4 linked regions of the Drosophila melanogaster genome follow. The protein of the gene in region 1 interacts with the protein of each later gene in a pairwise test. Each region holds a gene or a part of one and is shown on either strand. Other genes may lie near its edges.

Evidence for each region.
Region 2: the proteins of Rala (region 1) and Sec5 interact in a two-hybrid assay, tested with the Drosophila melanogaster proteins (2 studies listed by BioGRID).
Region 3: the proteins of Rala (region 1) and GEFmeso interact in a two-hybrid assay, tested with the Drosophila melanogaster proteins (2 studies listed by BioGRID).
Region 4: the proteins of Rala (region 1) and Rlip interact in a two-hybrid assay, tested with the Drosophila melanogaster proteins (6 studies listed by BioGRID).

What each region holds. Positions count from the first base shown.
Region 1 is NC_004354.4:3,716,596-3,721,230, forward strand, and holds the start of Rala (Ras-like protein A), read right to left. Parts: upstream 3,041-4,635; 5' UTR 2,768-3,040; intron 73-2,767; exon of another isoform or gene 1-72.
Region 2 is NT_033779.5:3,455,563-3,460,919, reverse strand, and holds Sec5 (secretory 5), read right to left. Parts: upstream 3,619-5,357; 5' UTR 3,515-3,618; coding exon 3,406-3,514; intron 3,336-3,405; coding exon 2,721-3,335; intron 2,667-2,720; coding exon 845-2,666; intron 788-844; coding exon 649-787; 3' UTR 553-648; downstream 1-552. Other genes in the region: CG3246 (uncharacterized protein), read left to right, coding at 1-526; Cog3 (component of oligomeric golgi complex 3), read left to right, coding at 3,885-4,049, 4,106-4,618, 4,676-5,163, 5,217-5,356. UniProt on the Drosophila melanogaster protein: Component of the exocyst complex involved in the docking of exocytic vesicles with fusion sites on the plasma membrane.
Region 3 is NT_033778.4:18,608,768-18,613,707, forward strand, and holds the start of GEFmeso (guanine nucleotide exchange factor in mesoderm), read right to left. Parts: upstream 3,011-4,940; 5' UTR 1,966-3,010; coding exon 1,914-1,965; intron 1-1,913. Other genes in the region: CG42697 (uncharacterized protein), read right to left, coding at 3,241-3,311, 3,524-3,659, 3,716-3,928; CG10927 (uncharacterized protein), read left to right, coding at 4,360-4,940.
Region 4 is NT_033777.3:21,015,948-21,021,253, reverse strand, and holds Rlip (Ral interacting protein), read right to left. Parts: upstream 3,571-5,306; 5' UTR 3,477-3,570; coding exon 3,380-3,476; intron 3,313-3,379; coding exon 3,180-3,312; intron 3,125-3,179; coding exon 2,240-3,124; intron 1,810-2,239; coding exon 1,047-1,809; 3' UTR 501-1,046; downstream 1-500. Other genes in the region: CG5697 (uncharacterized protein), read right to left, coding at 4,495-4,753, 4,827-4,969. UniProt on the Drosophila melanogaster protein: Participates in receptor endocytosis during interphase, is also involved in mitotic processes when endocytosis is switched off.

The sequences.
Region 1 (4,635 bases):
TGGCTCAGACTCATTTACAAAGTGTTTTTATTTGGCCGAGCAAGTTTGATCTGCCTTTGCAGATAGCGATACCTAAAAAAAAAAAAAAAAAAAAAACTAAAAACTTATTTCACACCGAGTGGTATATGAAAAATAGGTACATATATGTACGAACAATGCGTGGGAAGTGTTTTCTGAAGCGAGGAGAGCATAATTAAAACCTAGGCATAGTCAGCTGTGATAAAAGATCTTGAAATGCGATGGAGCAACAACAAAAGCCATGGGGAAACACTTGAGAGCCTGGGCATAAAACAAATAAAACCTGTATAAGGCAAATGTGTTGAGAGAACTTTGGAGATGCTGATACGATGATGTAACAAACTAAAGTCAGCTAACAAATATGTGATTGCGCGCGCGACTTTGTCAAGAATCGTTTGTTGGAAGAAATCTCAAGATTTTCAAATGTTAAATGCTTTACAAACGGATATCGTAGATCGTTGGTAACGGGCGATTAATCATTTAATTGGAAAATAACAAAGTCATTACACGTATTTAATGCACAATTCATTGATAATCAGGTATATAAAACGTATTTTGAAGACATTCGGCAGACATATTTGGCCATTATGGACAATTATCATCAAGTGTGTATAACTTTTGCATTAGGCCAACATTATTATTCGTAGAAAACAAACTTTAATGTTGGCCATAATGGACTTGGCCTAGAAGAAACATAGAAATAGAACCCATTTCCGTGATTTGTCTCCCTTGACAAAACTCCATTAGAAGTGAAATTAGAGCAAATCACAGCTTGATGGCTATAAATTAGGCTAAGTTGGCCGACTTGCGCTATCTTCTCCCTTCTGGCCAAGTTAGCAAACATGCCGGAGATGCCGAACAAAAGATGAGAAAACTACATATATACCAAAAACTGTGTCACTGCGAAAGATCGTGAAGATTATGAGTCAGTGTTTTCAACTCTATTGTTAATCTATTCTCGCCTGCCAGAGAATTATATTTGAAAAGGTCAGAGGTGAAACAGCTAACAAATTGCTCGGCTATATCTTGCAAATAATGTAAGATTTTGTTTACACTTTTGATAACGATTAAATTTCTCTGGAATATGAATGGCTCATATTCTACAGACCGATCTGAAATCAAAACTGGTTTCGCATTTTGTAAATAATAAGGCAAACTACACAAAGAGCAGTTATTGATTATTTAAGCACTCAGTTTTAAAGGAACTGAGAACGCATTTTTTTTTGACATACTTCAGCTATTCACTTCCCCCCGTTCGCATTTCGTTCAATTGGTGAGAGCTTTTAACGCCCCTTGGCAACCAAACAAACAAACAAATAATTAGGAAATGTTGGTGAAAGGGGGAAAGGGGTCAACACATACGATTAAGTGAGTCATAGATAAATGAAATTATTCAATATAAAACAAGCTGGCACTCAAATTGATCTTGAACTTGAGCCTAATTAGAAACTGTAAAACCATTTTTCTGTGTCACGTTTTTCAGTTTTCCTCATTTGCTTTAGGCGTGTTGGATAAAAAGATGGAACATTCAGATGCGCATAAAGTTGAAGCGGATTAACTAACGATCACCATCATGATGATCTAACGCTAATGTCAAAATGGTTCTCCGATTAGCAACAGAACCCGAAAATCGGCACGTTCGTGGAGATAATGAGAAATGGGGAAAGGGAAAGATGGTAGCGGAAAACGGGTCACTGTGAGAAAATAACGCCACAGAGCGAATGCCATCAAAAGCGATCTCACAAAATAACAGAGATTAAAACCAGACACCGTTTCTGCGAATTTTCTTGCATTTCAAACGACAATTTTCGAGTGCCAAAGAAGGTTCTTAGAAATTCGAAATATGTGATTAATGAAGAAATGTGCTTAATAAACTTGTCATTTAAAAAAAAACTCAACTGTATTTAACTGTTGGTTAAATAATATTTGTATAATGTTAAATTATTACTAATACTTGGGAAAATTCGGCAAATGTTATTTAGAGCGGCGTAAACGAGATCCCAAAGCGGAATTGGGATAAAGAGAAGTTTAAAAAGCAAAGGGGCGATGGGGGCGTGTGCGTGCTTGCTTGTGTGTGTGTGTTTGTGTGTATGAGTCAACGCGCAAAATGCGGGCGGCGACTGCACCTTGCACACCCCGCAAAAAGAGAGGGCGATAAAGCAGGAGAGAGCGGCAGCGAGAGCGAGAGAGAATAAGGTCAAGCGGGGTGCGGCAACAAATATTTCTGCTGATAGCCGTTGATAAAAGGCTCTCGCCGCCCTTCTCCTTTTCTTTCTCTCTCTCTCTCTATCTCTCGCTCTCCGTGTGCTCATCAGTCCGCTCCTTTCCTTTATTTTGCTGAATGGAGCACACACACAAAAATGCCAAGCGCAATACCTTTTATTTAGTTTACATTTAAATATTCAACAAAGCAAATAGCAGCAGAAAGATTTCACTGCTGAGTTTTTTTTTCACCTCTTGCTTTGCTCACACACATATACACACACACACACACACATCCACTTTCTTCGACGTCGACTGCAACGCCGGCAGCGGCGCCTTTTGGCGGCTTTTACAAATTTTGTTTATGAAACAAAAAACCCCTGTGTATATTCCTTTCTGGGATTTCATCGGTGTATACACCCAGATAAAAAGAAAGAATCTTTCCACACGGCAGACATCATGAAGAACAACATACGAAATATGCGTAATCACTCTATAATGCTTTAGCTGTAAATGCTTTTGCTTCTCTTTCCTCCTTTTTGCGTACTTCGTTTTCTTCCTTCCTTTTTATTGTATTTTGCGCGTCCGCTTTGGCCTGTCGCTTCGTTTGTTGTTGCTTTGCTGTGTTATCTCGCACTTGATGCACTAAACTAAACAAAAAAGTTACAGGCGCGATCGGAGAATCGGCAACTGATGAATTAACAGGATCGGAACGCAACAGTAAATTGGCTGCTTTTCGGTTTCTCTTCTCGTTCGCCGCACACCGCAATTAAAGTTCCGTTGGTTTTGCTTGCTTGAAAGAAACTAGTGTGAAAGTGGAAAAATACCACAGAGGTGCACCAATGTGACCGCTCTGCCATCGATCAATTATACCAAGCACAAGCATCACTAAGAATAACACAAAAATACCAATAAGTTCCGTCTTATATTGAGGTGGGTGTGATCGCTAAGGCTGGTGGGTGTACTCGCTTTGCTGGTTGATGTACTCGATAGGCGAGCGAGCGAGTTGTGCACTCGCTGGCGAGCGGTTTAAGTATCCGATAACTATGGTTGGTGCACACGCTAAGTAACAAGTGACCGCTAAACTGCTACTTTAACAGACACAACTGTGCATGTTAAGCGCACTCATCGTTCCGCCAGATGGCTTCTTTGCACACTCGTTTCGGTATTTTTTTTACACCAACTTACAGTATATTTTTAGGCCATTTCTGCGTGTGTGCGTTCGTGTGAATATTGTGAATATTTTTTTTACTGTGAAAATAGACAAAAATCGGCTGTGGAAAACCGAAGTAAACACATTTGGGAATCATGGCGATTGGCCCTTAACCTTAACCCTTAAGTGTCGTGCCGACAGTGCCACGCCACAAACCCAAATCCCAAAGAAACAAAAGCGAAAGAAAAAAAAAAAAGAACAACAAAAAGCTATAGTTGCAGCCTCTGAAAGTTTAAGACAATCGCCGATCCGATCGGAAGCGGAAGATATATGCTCGCCACACCAAATGGCATGGTAAACACCTCTCGTTCCTCTAAATGTGATGTCGATGTCGGAAAAGCCGTAGAAATCGTACAATTCCTAAAATCGCAAACTTAACCTCGCAGCGTTGTGTGCAAAAACGGAGAGGGGTGGGGGGGAAACAACGGAAAAAAAAGGCAACGCAAAGCAAAGCAAACGAAAAGCGAAGCGTGTGCGAGCGAGAGGCGAGTGAATAGCATTGTTGTTATTGTTGTAGTGACTTTTATTTTATCTCAGCCGGCGATTTAATTCTCTCGCACTCACACATATTCACGCGAATAAAAGTAAATTCAAATAAATACACTCGCAAAAACAAATTGGCACCGGTAACAATTCAAAAAAACTTATGCACATGTGTGTATGTGTGTGTGTGTGTGTGTGTGTGCACTTAGGAGCAGTTGGAGGCGTGGCATGTGTGTATGCCAATTAGTACGGCTAGTTGTTGGGTCGTTCATTTTGCTCCTTCCCGCTATCAGACTCGCTCTTTGCCCTGCATTTTCTCGCCGAGTGCAAAAGGAAAATAACAAAAAACCTCACTCCAATTGGAGATTCGAGATGCCGATCTCTAAAGCGCAGGCAGGGCAACAACAAAAGCGCCAAGAAGAAGACGGAAAAGGGAAAGATTCGAACTAAAACCTATTGGGATTTCATCTTGGAACATTAACCCTTAGGCGGGCTGAAATGTTGTTTAAATCATATTGAGAAATTTCCCAATAAAAGCGTATTGCATTTAAAAGGATGCCAAGTTTTTCAATTATACAAGTGTAGTTTATGAGCGTGTTTTTAATGAAATACCTAAACATGGCCAGGTTTTGGCAAAACCTCTGCTTGCATTCAATTATAGCACACACAATTATTTCACTGAAACTCAATTGATAATACAATACATATTTGGTAATTTC
Region 2 (5,357 bases), on another chromosome or scaffold:
TGTCAATCGCACCATGGGCGTGTTCAGTGTCCAGTTAGCACACACCTGGATCAATGGAATCTCTAGCTTCTACCGCGTGGGCAACATAACCGCTGGCATGGCCAACAAAACGGTGTCGGTCGTTCTGCAAATAGGCACCCAGCAGGTGACGGGAGCCGGCCAGTGGGAGGTGGGTGTGGGCATGATGACACGCGTCGGTCACGTACAATTTACGGTTCAGCACATACGCGCCACCGTTGGCCTGAGCCAATCCCTGGACACACGCAAGCGGGCGCAGATCACCGATCTGCAGTTTGACATGGGCAACATACAGGTGCGATGTGACGGAGCGGGAACGCTGGACTACGTCATGGAGTTTGCGGTGAACGTCATTCCCAACCTGCTGCGCTACCAGATCATGGACGCCATCGAGAACCCCATCAAGCAGCGTGTGCAGGAGAAGTTCAACACCATCGATGTGGAGCAGGTCATCAAGACCATGGCTCAGAACAACTTCAACTTTGACCCAAAGCTGTTGGGCTTGTGAGTCGTGGTAGTAAGTAAGAGAGTTATGCAATCGAATAAAGATTTATCCCTAGAACATGGGTAATCACAAGCTACTTAAAGTATACGCTATCTACATGGGCTGCGCCCTGCAGTGGAATGTGCCTAGGGGTCCTTGACACTGAAGCAGAGCAGCTGCAGACGCATGTTCCGCTTGACCCGCTCCAGAATCTCGTCCGCCTTACGCTTCTGCTCGCCACTCAGGGGCGGATTGATGGCCTCCAGCGCTTCCATGAAGTAGTTCCTTTTGCAGATTAGAAGAATTATTGAAATTCATAGGTATTTCATTTAGATCACTCACTTGGCAGTCTCATTGACGTAACCTTCCAGGGAGTCCCTCAATAGACGGATATCCACGTGGGCCTGAATCGCTCCCGTGAAGCTAAAGCGCTGGACACAGCTCATCAGACGGGCCAGCTCTTCGGATATGGTTTGCACAATGGACTCCAGGATGGGTCGCAGCAGTGCCGGTGAAATGCTGTAGATCTCGGAGTAGACACCAACCAAATTATCGCAGCACTCGTGAGCGTAAGGACGCAGCTGGCCGATCTCCATCTCGTGATCCCACTGGAAACGACCCAGATACATGGAGGGCTCGATGGTGCCGACCAGCGGATCGCCCTTATGCTCGACGTACTCCTCCAGAAGATTGGTAAAGAGCTGGTTAACCGTGTAGCGAGCAGTTTCGATTGCCAGCGTGGGCAGCGGGTAACCGTAGCGAACGAAGATGTCACCAAGGCGCGGGAAGAAGATCTTGTTGCAGTACGCATAGTTGGCCAGGCAACAGAGCATGCGCTGCTCCCAGGTCACAGCCGCTGCTCCGCCGCTTCCAGCCACCGAATCTGGCTGCTGGGCATTGGGGAATCCAAGTAGCTGCGACACATTGTGGGTGGGCGTCTCCTCGTCGTGGGAGTGGAAGGCCAGCTCCTCGATCACCGCGCTAAACGCGGATAGGAATTCTTGTAGTCGCTGTGTCACCTCTCTCTGTCCATCCGACTGCGGCTCGAGGAGATTGCCCTCCCGGGTCTCCCTTTGCATGCACACAGATTGCACCTCGTCCAGCGTTTCGATGAGCAATGTTTCCAAGGCGGCGGGTAACAATGTGGCACCTGGATATTCCTCCACGCCCAGTTCCCAGGTCTCCTGGCTGCCCAGCTTTTTGCACCGATCCGTGGCCCGTTTGAAGATAATTGAGAAGCAGAAAAGTCGCACCTCATCGATCAGTTTCTGTATGATGTCCAGCGCTTCCGAGGGCAGATCCAGGCTGATGAGCGTGGCATAGGCTATCCTCGTGAAACGCAGGCACTGCGGAATCCAGGGTAGAAACTGATGTGTTGCCGATGCGGAGCCGATGGGCCAAGCCAAGCCGCTGGACTGACGCAGGGCGCGCTGATCCGTGGCAATGAGAATGGCCAACCTCAAGTAGACACAGAACTTCTCGATGGCGTTCAAAACCATTCGCTTGAAATCCCCTGGCTTGGGATCATGAGGTCCGCGTAGCTCGCCGGTGAAGTATAGCTGGCCCAGACGCCACAAGTCCGGCAGCTGGGAGGCGGCAATGTCGCACAGTTCTTCGCAGAAGTTAACCCGATTGGGCGCCTGGCTGGAATCCCTGTTCTTTGCCTTTTCCTGGGCACCCGAATCCTTGCTGGTGTGCTGATCAAATGTCTGGCGAAATGTCCACTCCAGATATTTGGCTCTGGCCTCGATGGCATCCCAGGCGGGATCGATGTTGCGCAGTTTATCGCCAATGGGAGTTCCGCTCTGCTGCAGTTCCAGACTGATCAGCGCCTTGATGAGCTTCTTCTGTTGCTCCACGCTCTGTGGCATCTTGACCACCTTCTCGTGCAGTTGTTTCCTTATTGACAGAATCCTGTGGTCGACCTCCTCGAGCACCTTGCGGAAAATGGGAATCTCCGTCTTGCCAAAGAGGTTCTTGGCGCGCGAGTAGTCGTTAACCACAATGTCATATTCACCCGCCTTGGCACGTCTGTCCACCGAATTGGGCAGACAGAAGAGGAACTTGTGCCGCGACAGGGCGAACAGAACGGACCGCGTGGAATCCGCCTTCTCTTTGCGCACCAGCACATCCGTGAATATCTTTTGCGATTCGCTAATGGAGTCTATAAGTCGAACAATTTTAGAATTAAATATCTTAATCTATAAACCCCACTCACTCTCTATGGATGTTTCCAAGATATTTAGGGTCTCATTGCCGTGTAGCTTGACATCCTCCTGCAGCTTGTCTCGGATGTTCATCAGCGTATCGAGCTGGTCAATCACCGAGCCTGCATTGGACTTGAGGAAGGACAACTGACCTTCCTTCTGGCTCTCCACTTTCCGCTTCAAGTAGGACAGGCCCGCCTTGAGATCCTCGAAGGAGGTGGCCAGGTGATTTTCAAGCAGGAACCAGGCCGGGGAGAAGTGCTCCTGCGACAGATCCCCGCAGGCTTCGGGAAAGAGATCGCGGAGGTCCTCGGGGATCTTCTGCTCGTTACCCTCGATGGACAGCCCAAGTGGATCCTCCTGCGTCAGTCCGGATTGGGCTAGGGTGCGCCGACCCCAGGCAAAATTCTGCGAGGGCGACTCCTCGATCCACACGGCGGACTCCTTGAGCGGGCCAATGGTCTCGTGGTATGCACGAAACTGAACCGTGGACGTGCCCACTCCGCCGCTTAAAGTGGTCACTATGATATCGCCTTTTCCCTTCGCCGGACCAGTGCGTGCGATGATTTTATTGGGTGATTTCCACTCCGCCGACAGCAGACAATCTGAACCGCAGATTTTTAGACCTTACATTTTTTTTTTTTGGAAGGGAAAGTCATCAGAAAACAGAAGCTATTTGGGACAGGCTACGCCTACCAATTAGATCTTGCACTCGGGTGCCCAGGAACTCGCCGCGAATGATAACGCGGGTGCCAGGAGGACCCTCCTTCGGAGATAGCCCCGTAACCACTGGCTGCGGCGCCATCGTATGCTATATGATGCGGAAAAACTGATCAAAATGCAATAAAAACAATAGAGAACAGAACTTTATTGATGCTGCCAGTGATGGAAAACGTCCCGTCAGTGGTGAAATCTTGGCTAAGTAATCGCCAAGCTAAACAGACAGATATTTAATATAAAACTTATGTAAGAAACGGACGAGCATAAAAAGAGCTTAAAATGTATTAAATCTAAAATTAAAGATTACTTAACATATGATACCATTCAAATAAAGGCAACTTATATCAATCAAGAGTTTTAGTTCTAGCTAAGTCTCCTTGCTGAGCAGCACTGGAAGGCGCAGACCGGTCATCTCTGAACAGCTGATTGATTGTTTCCAAATCCGCCGCAGAAAAATGGATGACGTCGAACGAATTCAGAGCGAGAATGAGAATTTGCGCAAGATTCGCAATCGCCTGATGCAATGGGAGTCCAAAACGGACCCGCTGGCGGCTCTGAGTATCCAGCAAGAGGAGCACCTGGACGTCCTGACCAATCTGTGGCGCGACAGCGGACCATCGGTGAGTCGACTCCTCCTCGAATGGCAATCGTATAATTGCAACCCGACTCTTTGTAGGCACCGGCACCGACTACGCCCACCCAGGTGGGTCCTACCGATTCATCGGCAGCTGCAACTTCGCAAAGCGGCGATGACATCAGACTACCTGCGGAGGGACTCCAGAACACCAATGAGTTTCTGCTTTGGTTCGCGGACGTCAGCGCCGAGATCGAGCAACGTGGCGATGCCGACTACCACAAATACCTGCAGCAGCTGGAGCAGCGCAAAGCGGAGTGCTCCCACATGCTGGACCAGATCGCTGGGGCCATGGAGCGCCTGGGTGCCCTCTGCGACGAGTACGACTTTGTGTCGCAAAAGACCAGCGCTCTGAACACGGCCAGCGAGCAGTTGATCGAGGAGCAGGAGCGACTGCAGGAGCTGAGTCACGAGATTCAACGCCGTCTGCACTACTTCAGCCAGGTGGAGTTGCTCAACCAACGACTTCAGAGCCCCACGCTTTCGGTGGCTAGCGAAGCGTTCCGGGAGTGCCTCAACAAGATCGACGAATGCCTAAACTACATCGAGGAGAATGTGAGCTTGTCTGTTACACTTCGGTCATGTATATACTAATATCCTTCATTGTCACAGCCCAAATTCAAGGATGCGGCCGCCTACAATGTGAAGTACAGGCAGTGCCTGGCCAAAGCCTCGGGTCTGGTGCGTAACTATGTGACGAGTGTGATAAACCAGGCAACCGAGGCCACGCTCCATCCCAAGAACAATATGCCGGATGCCTCCGCTGCTCTCAAGGCACCAGATGCCGCATTCGCTCTGTACTACGGCAAATATCAAACGGCCGCGGCAAAAGTGAAGCGGGTCGCCCAGTTGATTGAGTCCCGGTCGGAACACAGCCTCGACTACGCCCAACTAATGGCGGATCTTCAACAGCACTACTTGGCGCAAAGAGCCAGCGTTATGTCGCCAGCAGTGAATCTGTCCATACAAAACGTTAAGGTGGCCCACAAAGGGGATCACTGCTCTCTCACCCGAAGCGCCTGCGCCTTTTTGGTGCATGTTTGCCAGGACGAACAGCGTTTGTTCTACCAGTTCTTCAGCACAGGAGCGCCACACCTGACGTAATACTCGTACATCTAGTTGGAAAATAGGATTGATCTCATTTTTCCCACAGGGTTTATCTGGAGGGTCTGTGCACCATTCTCTATGACACCATGCGACCCTTTATTATACATATTAATCACTTGGAAACGCTGGCGGAGATCTGCTCCATTCTACGAATTGAAATGCTGGAGGAGCATGTCCAGCAGAATCG
Region 3 (4,940 bases), on another chromosome or scaffold:
AAATACATGCGGCGAAATCTTATCAACGCCTTAGCCCTACTACCATCGATATCTATTAGTATTTATTGAATAAACCAAATATGAAAGCCAGGCCAGCCAAATAAATGTCACAAGAGAATCGATGGCGAACCGCAGGGCCCAAAAAGGTTTCCTCAGATCACAATCTTTAACAATATCGAATGAACAGACTCCCGTGGTGTTTGTGGTTACGAGTGGTAATTCAACGACTTGACCTGGCACCCTGCCCCCTTGCGCTCATGCACTTGTGTCCACAGATGAAAATTTCTTATTCCCCCGTTTTGTTTGTTTGTCTGGAATTGAAGTTGACTCTGTTGTTGAAGAGGCAAACAAACACGGTGACGGAAAGGGCAAAAGAAGACGAACTGGTGACATTTGATAGTGCATGCGGTCAACTGCTGGCGATATCATTCGGCGGGTTCTATTTATAGGTCGATGCGATCGGTAATATCCTGGACATGCGGCCGACAGATGGCGTCACGTTTGCTGACCCCGCCAAATGTCAACCACTTGCACAATCGTCTATGTCTAAGCTGGTGGGATCAGCAGAACAAACCCATAAATGCCGCAACACCCCCCCATCACCTATACATGATTCATTCGCCCTACTCATGTATGTGTATATAATTGATATAACAAAGGCCACTTGCTGAATTCGCAGTGTCCGTTATCAATAATTGACGCACCATCTTAACCCGTTTTAAACTATTTTCTTCGGGCAGTTTTTTGAAGGTACTTAACTAAATTAGTTATTCTCTCTCTCTCTCTTCACACATTTGGTTTGGAATTGTGTTGGCCAAAAGATTGCTTAAATTCAGTTTTACAGTTTTAATAGAGTTACTTGCAATTAGTATGATAATACATATTACTTATTACATATACATATTACTATTGATTATTATAAGTTTGGAAACCTTCTTTGGCCTAACATGGGTTAACTAACAGAGCTACTTACAGCGCTGTTGCGCTAAGGGCGGCGTTATCTAACATCCGCTGTTAGCGGGCGTGCAATAATAATAAAGAAAGTCAACAAAAGAAACGCAGTGTCAAGACTTATGACTAATGCACTTAATTGAACGAAAGCTTTCGGTGAGAAGAAAAACAAATATGCAGCATGTGCCACAAAGTTACAAGCAAATCGGCGTTACGAATTAAGTGGGTCAGCAAACCGAATGGAGCCACCCAAAACATAAATTGCAAATCCGAAGACAGACCTTTTCTTGGCCACACTTGTATGGTAATATGTGGGTCAAAATGGCCCGAAATTATGTATTATCATTAAATTTCATTACAACCGACTTTTCGAGCGCTTAAATAATGTCGAAAAATTTCGGACTGCGCAAAAGCGGAATGCAAAAACAAAGCGAACCCGTTACACCGCAATTCACGCAATGCCACTCAGTGGGTTGTTATTTTATTTTCCCCCCACTTTTTGTACAGTTATGGGAACGGAACGGTGCCGTCGATCCACCAAATGCATTGGCCCCAGTCCCAGTCCCAGCACCAGCCGCAATCCCCATTCCATCACCATCCCCCAACCCGCCGAGCCAAAGAAAGCCAACTTGATGGTCTGTTCTTGTACGCAAGTCCATATTCGGAGTTTGGAGTTCTTGGAGAATGCGTAGTGTCTCCCACACAGGAAGAAATATAAGATCGGGACATATGTATATTATTCATAATCCTACTGTAAACATATAGTACCCTAAGCTTTTGTATGTTCTTATGCCTTCAATGACGGATTATTAAAATGTAGACTAATGTCGTCTGAAATGCTGAAAACCAATATTACTAGTCTCTATCTGTGATTGATACGTGATTTTTCCTCAGTGCACCTCCCCAGCCCGCTGAGTCATGTCATTTCTGCACGCAGAAGTTCAGTGATCCCGTTCGCTTACCAAAAAAGTCCTCCCATCTCTCCGAGGTGTCCGAATCGGATTCTATGTCCATCTTGGTCTCCTCCGGCTGCTTGATTTACGATTTCCGAGTGCGTCTGGTTTGGTTTTGGCCAGATCTGGTCCCTCGCGCCTGATCTGTCTCTAAATTTAGACGGCGATTGCAGAGCAACTGACACTGAAGGAGGTCGTTATTATCGCGACTGCTTTGGCTGCTGCATTAGATATGGCCGCAGATACAGTATCTAAAACGGGCGAATTGTGGCCAAATGACTTCACCCGGTGCAGAGCGGAAAGGCAAAGCTCAATCAATGGCTGGCCGATAAGATAAGCGCTCGATTTAACTTTAAACACTGGCACCGAACTGTGCGATTTTCTTTTCCGTTTGTTTGTCGTATATGGACGTTTTCGCAGTTTCGAGTACGAGTATCTGGCTTTATTCACCACTAGTCGCCGATATCTTATCGCGGTCTACTAAGCTCCGAGGTAAGGCAAATATCCAGCAGGTACGGAGGCATTGTGGCCAACAGCTGGTGTCCAGCGATTCGGAATGAGAATACGCGAATGTATCTCAATGTTGCGCTCAGTTCTCGGAACTTTCGGATGACTAAACCGGCTCACGGACTTCTGTCTCTGGGGTTGGGGCTTTTATTTTATTACTTTTATTTGGGCTTAGAACAAATTGTGGGGATTCTCCAAAAGCGGGCCACACAACAACCGATCGTTGATTGAATTAAAGTAATGGGCTCTTCACTTGCTATTTGCGAAACCGAAAACAAAACGAAAACACACAAATTGCAGATACAAGTATCTCGCGCTTCGCTGATTTTCCAGTTTCTCCCGTGCAAATCACCTTCGCACCGTTACTTCTAATTGCGGCAAATGGAAAACACTCTCGTCTCACATATACGACTGCACTTGCAGATACACTTGTGTATTTTCAGATATAATTTTTGATATTTTTCCTGCCGATATTTTTATTTCCTTTTTTTTTTCTTGACGGGTAGGGGGCGGTACACTGGCACACACACGCTCATTCGCAGGAACAGCTCGAGCGCTCCAGGAACGACATATCCAGCGCGCGTCTCAGAGTGAACTGACTTACTTGAAAGACACTCAAGTCGGAAGACCCGAGCACGAAGTCACCTCATACACAAATAATGGGGGGATTCGAATACAAGTTCTCTCTCTCTCTCTCGGTGCTCACAGTATTACATCCGATGCGAAGATCGCTGAGAGTTGCATAGTATGCTCATTCCAAGGCGTTCGATCTCCAACATGGTATGTTTGTATCTTCTATGCATGCAACAAGTGGAACCAACTGCAACTCCTAGCAGTCGTGGGTGCATGATCGACAGCACCACCAGGTTGAAATGATGACCCATTCGTAGTACATCTCGACTGGATAAGAGAAAAATATTATTTTAATTAAAAATCGAACGTGAATAGAATTTATGTACTTTTTAAGTCCACTACGTTTTGTTGCTTGTTTGTGTTATATGTTGTGTGTGTGTTATAGAAAGAAGTTCTCGATAGTTAATGTATTAATCTACTTCTCTATCTTCTTTTGTTTTCAGATCCAAAAGAAATTCAAAATTTTTTCACCAACTTACGTATGCTAAGAAAACCGCCCAGAAGGAGGTGCAGAGGGTCCCACAAGAGGATGTAGAAGAGCACCACAAGTGCGATGAGGAGCCCCAGGGCCGCAATACCTATAAAAAAGGACAAGAGCATGGCCCAGCACATGTCCTGTAGAACAGCGATTGGATATCTTTACAAATTTAAGGATAAAAGTATTCACTTACCCACATCGTTCCGAGGAGAAGAAGAATTTTAGCTAGGGCTTGGACAATGCCAAAGACCATTGCCATGACCACAAGCACTGTTTCCGGATTGCCCTTGATCATCTCGAATAGACCCACAGAAAAGACCATTAAAGCTAGAAGCATCCCCGTGAAGCCGATGAAGATGCAGCCAATGTAAAGCGACAAATAGCCGCAAAACAAGCGCAGACACATTTCGATGTTTCCTCTAAGTTTTGACTAGAAATCACAAGCACATATTTCACTGGAATTTTGAATTTAAACTTTGGGTATCAGACTGGGCACTGCTTACATGTAGACATCAAAAAAGATATTGGTTGTAAGGAATTATAATGCAAATTAGACAATTGATCAGATTATTGAGCTGATTAGATTAAGTATTAGGGAATGTATATCAAAAGTAGGAAATATTTGAAACAGCTCCCAAGCTAAATAGCTTTAAAGACTTTTAAACGTATAATCTTTCACTAAATTATTTTTAAATGCATATTTTAAATAGAAGACATTTTTCAAAGTTGGCGCTTAATATCCAAACAGCTGTTTCAACGCCAGCGCTTGGCACTTATCGATAACCTATTTCAATCGATTCCAATTGGCATTCTTCTAATTGAAGAATTAAGTAAATAATGGATATATCCGCGCCACCAAACAAACGTGCTCGAAAATCACCCAATCTGGATGAAGACATAACTGGGATCCGGGCCATCCTCTCCGATGAGTTCGACGAGGATATTGCGCTCATCAAGGCGCACAGTTGCGAGTTGGAGACGAAACAGCAGCTCCAGGCGGTCATCCAGGAGCTCTCACAGAAATTGCCCCACTTTCAACACCTAAAGCGCGTCCAGGATCGCAGCGTGCTCATATGTCCCAGCTCAGAGATCGGAGTGTCTCAAAGCCTGGAACAACACCTTGAACAGTTTGCCTTTTCGGAGCACGTGCTCCGTGCTTTGTGCCAGGGAGTCCGGGTGGTGGAGGTGCCGGAACGGATGCCCCGACTGCGGGTGCAGTACGAGAAGACCCTTAAGCACTGGCCCTGCAAGTTTCACCCTAATCACTACTCGGAGTCACTGAGGAATGGCAGCAACTTTAGCTCCGCACAACGCACATTTCACAAAAGGATCGGGCAATTGCTTGTGAGGCTCTCGCGGGATGTCAATGCCAATCGTCCGGTGGGCATCTGCGTGGATCCGCGACAACCCAGCATTGT
Region 4 (5,306 bases), on another chromosome or scaffold:
ATCTGTAGTCCAGCGGAAATAACTTAATCATGGAGGGGAGCGAGTTGACGCGGTTTGGCATTCCGGAGGACTCATCTTTCCCCCGTGGTATTTGTGTGTGATATTTTTAAGTTGTACTTCAGCGGAATACAGAAAACACGCCCCGAACGTAATGCATAATGATAATGTATTCTAAAATTATTAATAATAAATATTAAATAAAGTAATCGTAACACGCAAAGCCCACCTCGGTTCCTTGACCATCACAATGTTGACAAGACGTAATATGAGATGATGTCATTTCCGTTTCACCCCAGCGAACAGCCAATCCGTCGTCTAAACATCTTCTAATCTGTGCCCTGTATTTCTCGGATTGGAATTAAGTCATCAGACCGATTTAGAAAATCGGATCTTGATTGTCGGCACACACAAACGCAGCTACTTTACCGGCATTTACAAAATTCTTCGAGGAGACATATTTCGATGCAATAGTTCAGTACAGAAAAGGGAATTTTGAGTTTGTTTTCTCATTTAATTGTTGAAAGCAGTAAAGTTGTCTAACAAGATTTCTTTGGGGCTTTGCGCCGTTTAACAGTAATTATAGTTTGAACAAAGCATTTGATCGCAAGTAGACATTGAGATTTAAAATTGGTAACCCTATATACATACATATATTTCGGTGGGTCAAGTCTGAAACTAGCTCATTTCCAAATAAACAATAAACTGACTTTAGGCATGAGGAATCCGTTTTATGTTTTAGCAGTATTTTATCTCCTTAAAAGCTGAACTGAAAATTCTCATATATTGCAATTCACAAAGGACACTGTTTAGAACAGTGACTACGTTTGCAGATAAATGAATTATCAAAAACTTTACAAGTTTATTCATTTGAATATTTTAGATATGTGACATAGAATTGTCTTCTACGAATCTAAGAAACCTCCTATGATTGCCTAGTAGACCTTTTATGTTTCTTTGGAAATGTGACCATTAAGTTTCCGGAATAGGAACTTAGTTATATCCCTCAAATTGACCCATCCAAGTAATACATTAATCGAATTAATACATTAAAACTGCTGGAGCCGCAGCTCAACTTGTAGAGCAATACAGGCCCGTCGTTCCTCCTTTAGTTCCATGCCCAGCATATTCTTCTTGTGCTCCAGCAGCGCATTCTCCCGTGTATAGTGCTCGATTATCCGCTCATAGTCGGATTCTGGGGGAGCCTGAGATCCCGAGGCCAAGGAGGCCATTTGACTGTTTATTGACTGCTGCTCGTACAGCTGCTTGAGCCTATAGACTTCGTTGCGCTCGGCGACGATACGTGCTTTTAGTTCGTTCTGCCATTCCATTAGCTCGTCATATTCAATTTGGAGCCGCAGCAAATTTTCGCGGTGCGGATTTGATTTGGGGAGCAAAATAAAGCCAGTGCTGGGATCAATAGTAAAATCGTTAGGAGCATCTTTCGGAGTTAGTGTATCGGTTTTTGGCTCTTCCTGGGAAATACTGTTGTTCGTAGATACGGCTGGAGTTCCAGCTGGTTTGGAGTCAGTGGTATCTTCACTGGCTACAGCGGGCGGAGCACTGCTGCTGTTGTCTACTTCCTCCGCAGTCTTTTCCTGTTTCTTCTCAAAAGTTCGTAGTTTCCGCTTCAGCTGGGTAATGATGCGCTGCACTTCCCACAGCTGTTCCTCGCGTTTCTTGGTAATGAACCCGGCGTTCATCTCGCTGTGGATCTGGGACAGGAGGCTGTCCTGCTTGCGCAACTCCGTCTGGATGTCCTCCGGCGTATCCGGAAGCTTTGGGCTGGTCGATGTTAAAGGGGGCACATACCTAAGAGATGACAATTTAGTATTATGATAACTTTGTTTAAATGTGTGCCATTCTGCCTGATTAGAAAACTGGCGAAACGTGGAAAGCGCTTCTGTTTACGGGGTAATGTGCTCATCGTCGGTTGCAAAATAAACGACTAAATCTGGCGATTTTTATAGCAGCAATCTTATCAACTGCCAACAGTGGTGGGAATTATCTGGGTTCTTATAAGTACCTATTATACATATAAAAAAACAATTTATATCATTAGATAAATATGGAAACTAACAGTTTACTAAAACTAACAGTTTAGTAGTTAACTTCAGAGCTATGACTTCGATTCGTTCTTGTGATTTAACTATAGTTGTTAAATGTGGACTTCTCTTTTACCAACACAAAGGTACTTGGATATTTCCCACCACTGTTATCCGGCTAGCCGGTGTTTGCTCACTTTATCAGCTGGACGTCCGCGAACAAGTTGTTGCAGTGGCAGAGTAGGGCCACCATTAGTCGGTGAGACATCTGGAGCGTCGGACTGAGCAGCATAGCCAGCGACTGAGCGTTGAGCTTATTGTGTCTTTCCTGCTGGATCACCGCGTCGAAGTGGAGCAGCACCCACGCCAAGAGGGTGCGATTGCACTTGGGCAATTGTTCAAGCAGCTGCTGCAGCTCTGCCTGCTGCGTGGTTACCTTCGGATGAGAGGCTACCTCCTCAAAGCGGGCCACCAGATCGGTGGTCAGCAGTGGCTCCGGCAGTTCGCGCAGGAAGAGCTTCAGCAGACTGCAGGCGGTAGGCAGGTTGAGCTCATCAACGGCGGAGTCGTGCTCCCGGTTGTTGTACAACCGCTTGAAGTGCATCAGACGCGTCTTGATGGGCTCAATCTTGTAGATCTGCTCACACTTCAGGTGATCCTGCAGGAAGTCGATGCAGTCGCGCACAACCAGGGGAATGTCCACGCCGTCGTGGCAGCGGGATCGTTCGGTCGCCAAGCTAACGGACACCCCAAAGACGGGATACCCAAGTGCCAGCACTTCCTCCGCGGCGGAGACGTCGTCCTGCTGCTGCGACAGCTGCTTGCTCTTCTTATCCTTTTTGTCCTTCTTGTCAGCCTTCTTGTCCTTTTCCTTGCGCTTCTCCTCCTTGTCCTTCTTCTTGGGCTCATCACGGTCCTTCTCCTTATCCCGCTCTTTCTCCTTGACCTTGTGGGAGACGGAAGGCTCCTCCTCTGCGTGCTTCGAGTCTTTTTCAGACTTGTCCCGCGACTTTTCCCGCTTCTCCTTGCTCTTGGAGCTGGTGAACTTAAAGGTCTTTGACTTTTTCGACTTGGATGGACTTCTGGAAGTAAAAGAAAAAATATTACTTGTCTCTGGGTCAGCTGACCTGCACCCACTTGGTGTCCAGCTCCTCCTCCGGCGAGCTCTCGCCCTCCAGAGCGGCGTATCCTCGATCCTTGCCCTTTTCCTTCTTGTCCTTGCGCCGGCCAATCAACAAGTCCTTCTTGCTATGGTCGTGATCCTCACTAACTGTAAAGGCAAGGTGAGCCCATTGATTTTTTCCCAGCTTACGCCCACATCTTTGCGCTCCACTCACAGTCGCTCTCCTCCTTGCTCTTCCTCGACTTAGCGTCCGCCGCCTCGGAGGCGTACAGCCCGGGAAACTCCTTCTCCTCGGGACTGTCAAAATCCATCACGAATAATCACTTCACCAGCAGTAAATAAATATAAACAATTGCCGTAAACAACATATGCAACAAATAATCGATTGCTTAATCGAAGTCGCCGCTGCTATCCAACACTGATAAGTGCACAGATGGCGCTACTGTGTCATGTAAAAAATATGTAGTAACGGTGTAGATATTTAAAAAAAGGCAAATTGAAACAAGAGAAAACGCTACAGTCGAGTTCCTCAACTATCAGAAATGCGATCAGCTACTAACTCTTAAATTTTTATAATATTAATATATATATATATATATATATATAATAAATAAATAAATAAATATGTGTTAATATATAATATAATAATAATAATATTTTAAATAATTTAAATTCTAAGAAAATATTTTTTATATATATACATAAACTACATAATACATAAAACTTCCAAAATGACAAGAGTACCACCTCTGTAACTACAGGATTTTGTTAATTGTGCGCGCTAGTGTGGGCGTGGTGAAAATGTTTTTTCACAAGTATACAAATTGCCAAGACTATTTATAAAATAAAACTAAATCAAACCATTTTTTCAGGGTGGGGCTGTAAAACTATAAGGCGGTTTGTTAACTTCTAAACTCCCAGAAACCGAAACCAGAATACAGCGATGAAAAAAAACTATTCGTTTATTAGTTTAAGTAATATTCATATATATATATGTATATATATAAAAATTAATAAGTTTGCGATACAATGTTCTTAATTGGTACGGAAACGCTTCCTTATACCTTTTGCATTCTTTTTACTTTACGAGTAGGCGGTTGTGTAGCAAATAAGTTAATCAGTATAATTATTTCACGACCAATCAATCCCGCGGTGCATCGCTTATCACTCAGCTTGAGTAGGGGTAAACAGTAGAGAGGAGGAGGATTAGGTCGCCTCCATTACCGGCAAGCCAAACAAATGCTAATAGTGCGAGCTGATGCGGCTGATGCAATTCCGCAGGGTGGATTGCGGCATCTCCAAAATGCTACACAGATTAGCTTACGGCCACTATAAACTGGCCATCAGCAGCTGGGAGCCGTTGAGAGCCAAGGATAGTGGCGTGGCCATCGTTGTCGTGGTGGTCGCGTTTCTGCTAATTGCTCTATTTGGGAGACAGACACTGTCGGAATAGGCCATAACCAGTCCAGCAATCAGGGTCAGCAGGAAAGTCAGGCCCAGGAGCCCGCAGCTGAGGCGCCGTACGGCCTGCCACCAGGGATCCAGAGCGAAGGGCAGGAGCTCCTCGAGCGTCAGTCCGTAGGAATAGCTACGAAAGAAGCGGGCAGGCGGCACTGTGTAACGAAGTTATTTTTTAATGAAATACGACGGAAAGCGTTTACTCAGCAGTTGTGAAAATGGGCTCATAATCCTTTGGATCCTTCCCCGTCGCGGGCACGACAATGATGTGCTGCTGCTGCCGCTGCTGCCGCTGCTGATGTCCTTGTTGCGTTGCCAGAAGCGCTGTCTTCTCGTTGCAGGACATATTTGCCGTGTGGTACCCTGGATGTGTGCCGAACAAGAGGGTATACGCAGTTTATGTAACTTTATCTGTAACAAGAAGTGAAAATAATAATAATAATGAATAATGATTTATTCAAATGACTGATAATTTATATATGATAACTGTGACATGTATCTTTCGTTTTTTTTTTGTCAATACCACCAAAGTTGCCGTAGCCCCTTGCAGGCACGACAGATAACTATAGATGGGAACTGGGTATTTTACAGTCCTTTTTCAGCCCTTCTCACGGGATAGTACCAGGATTGCAAACACTCCCGGCTGGAAATTGCTCCATTCGCAACTGGCGGACTACTGGCGA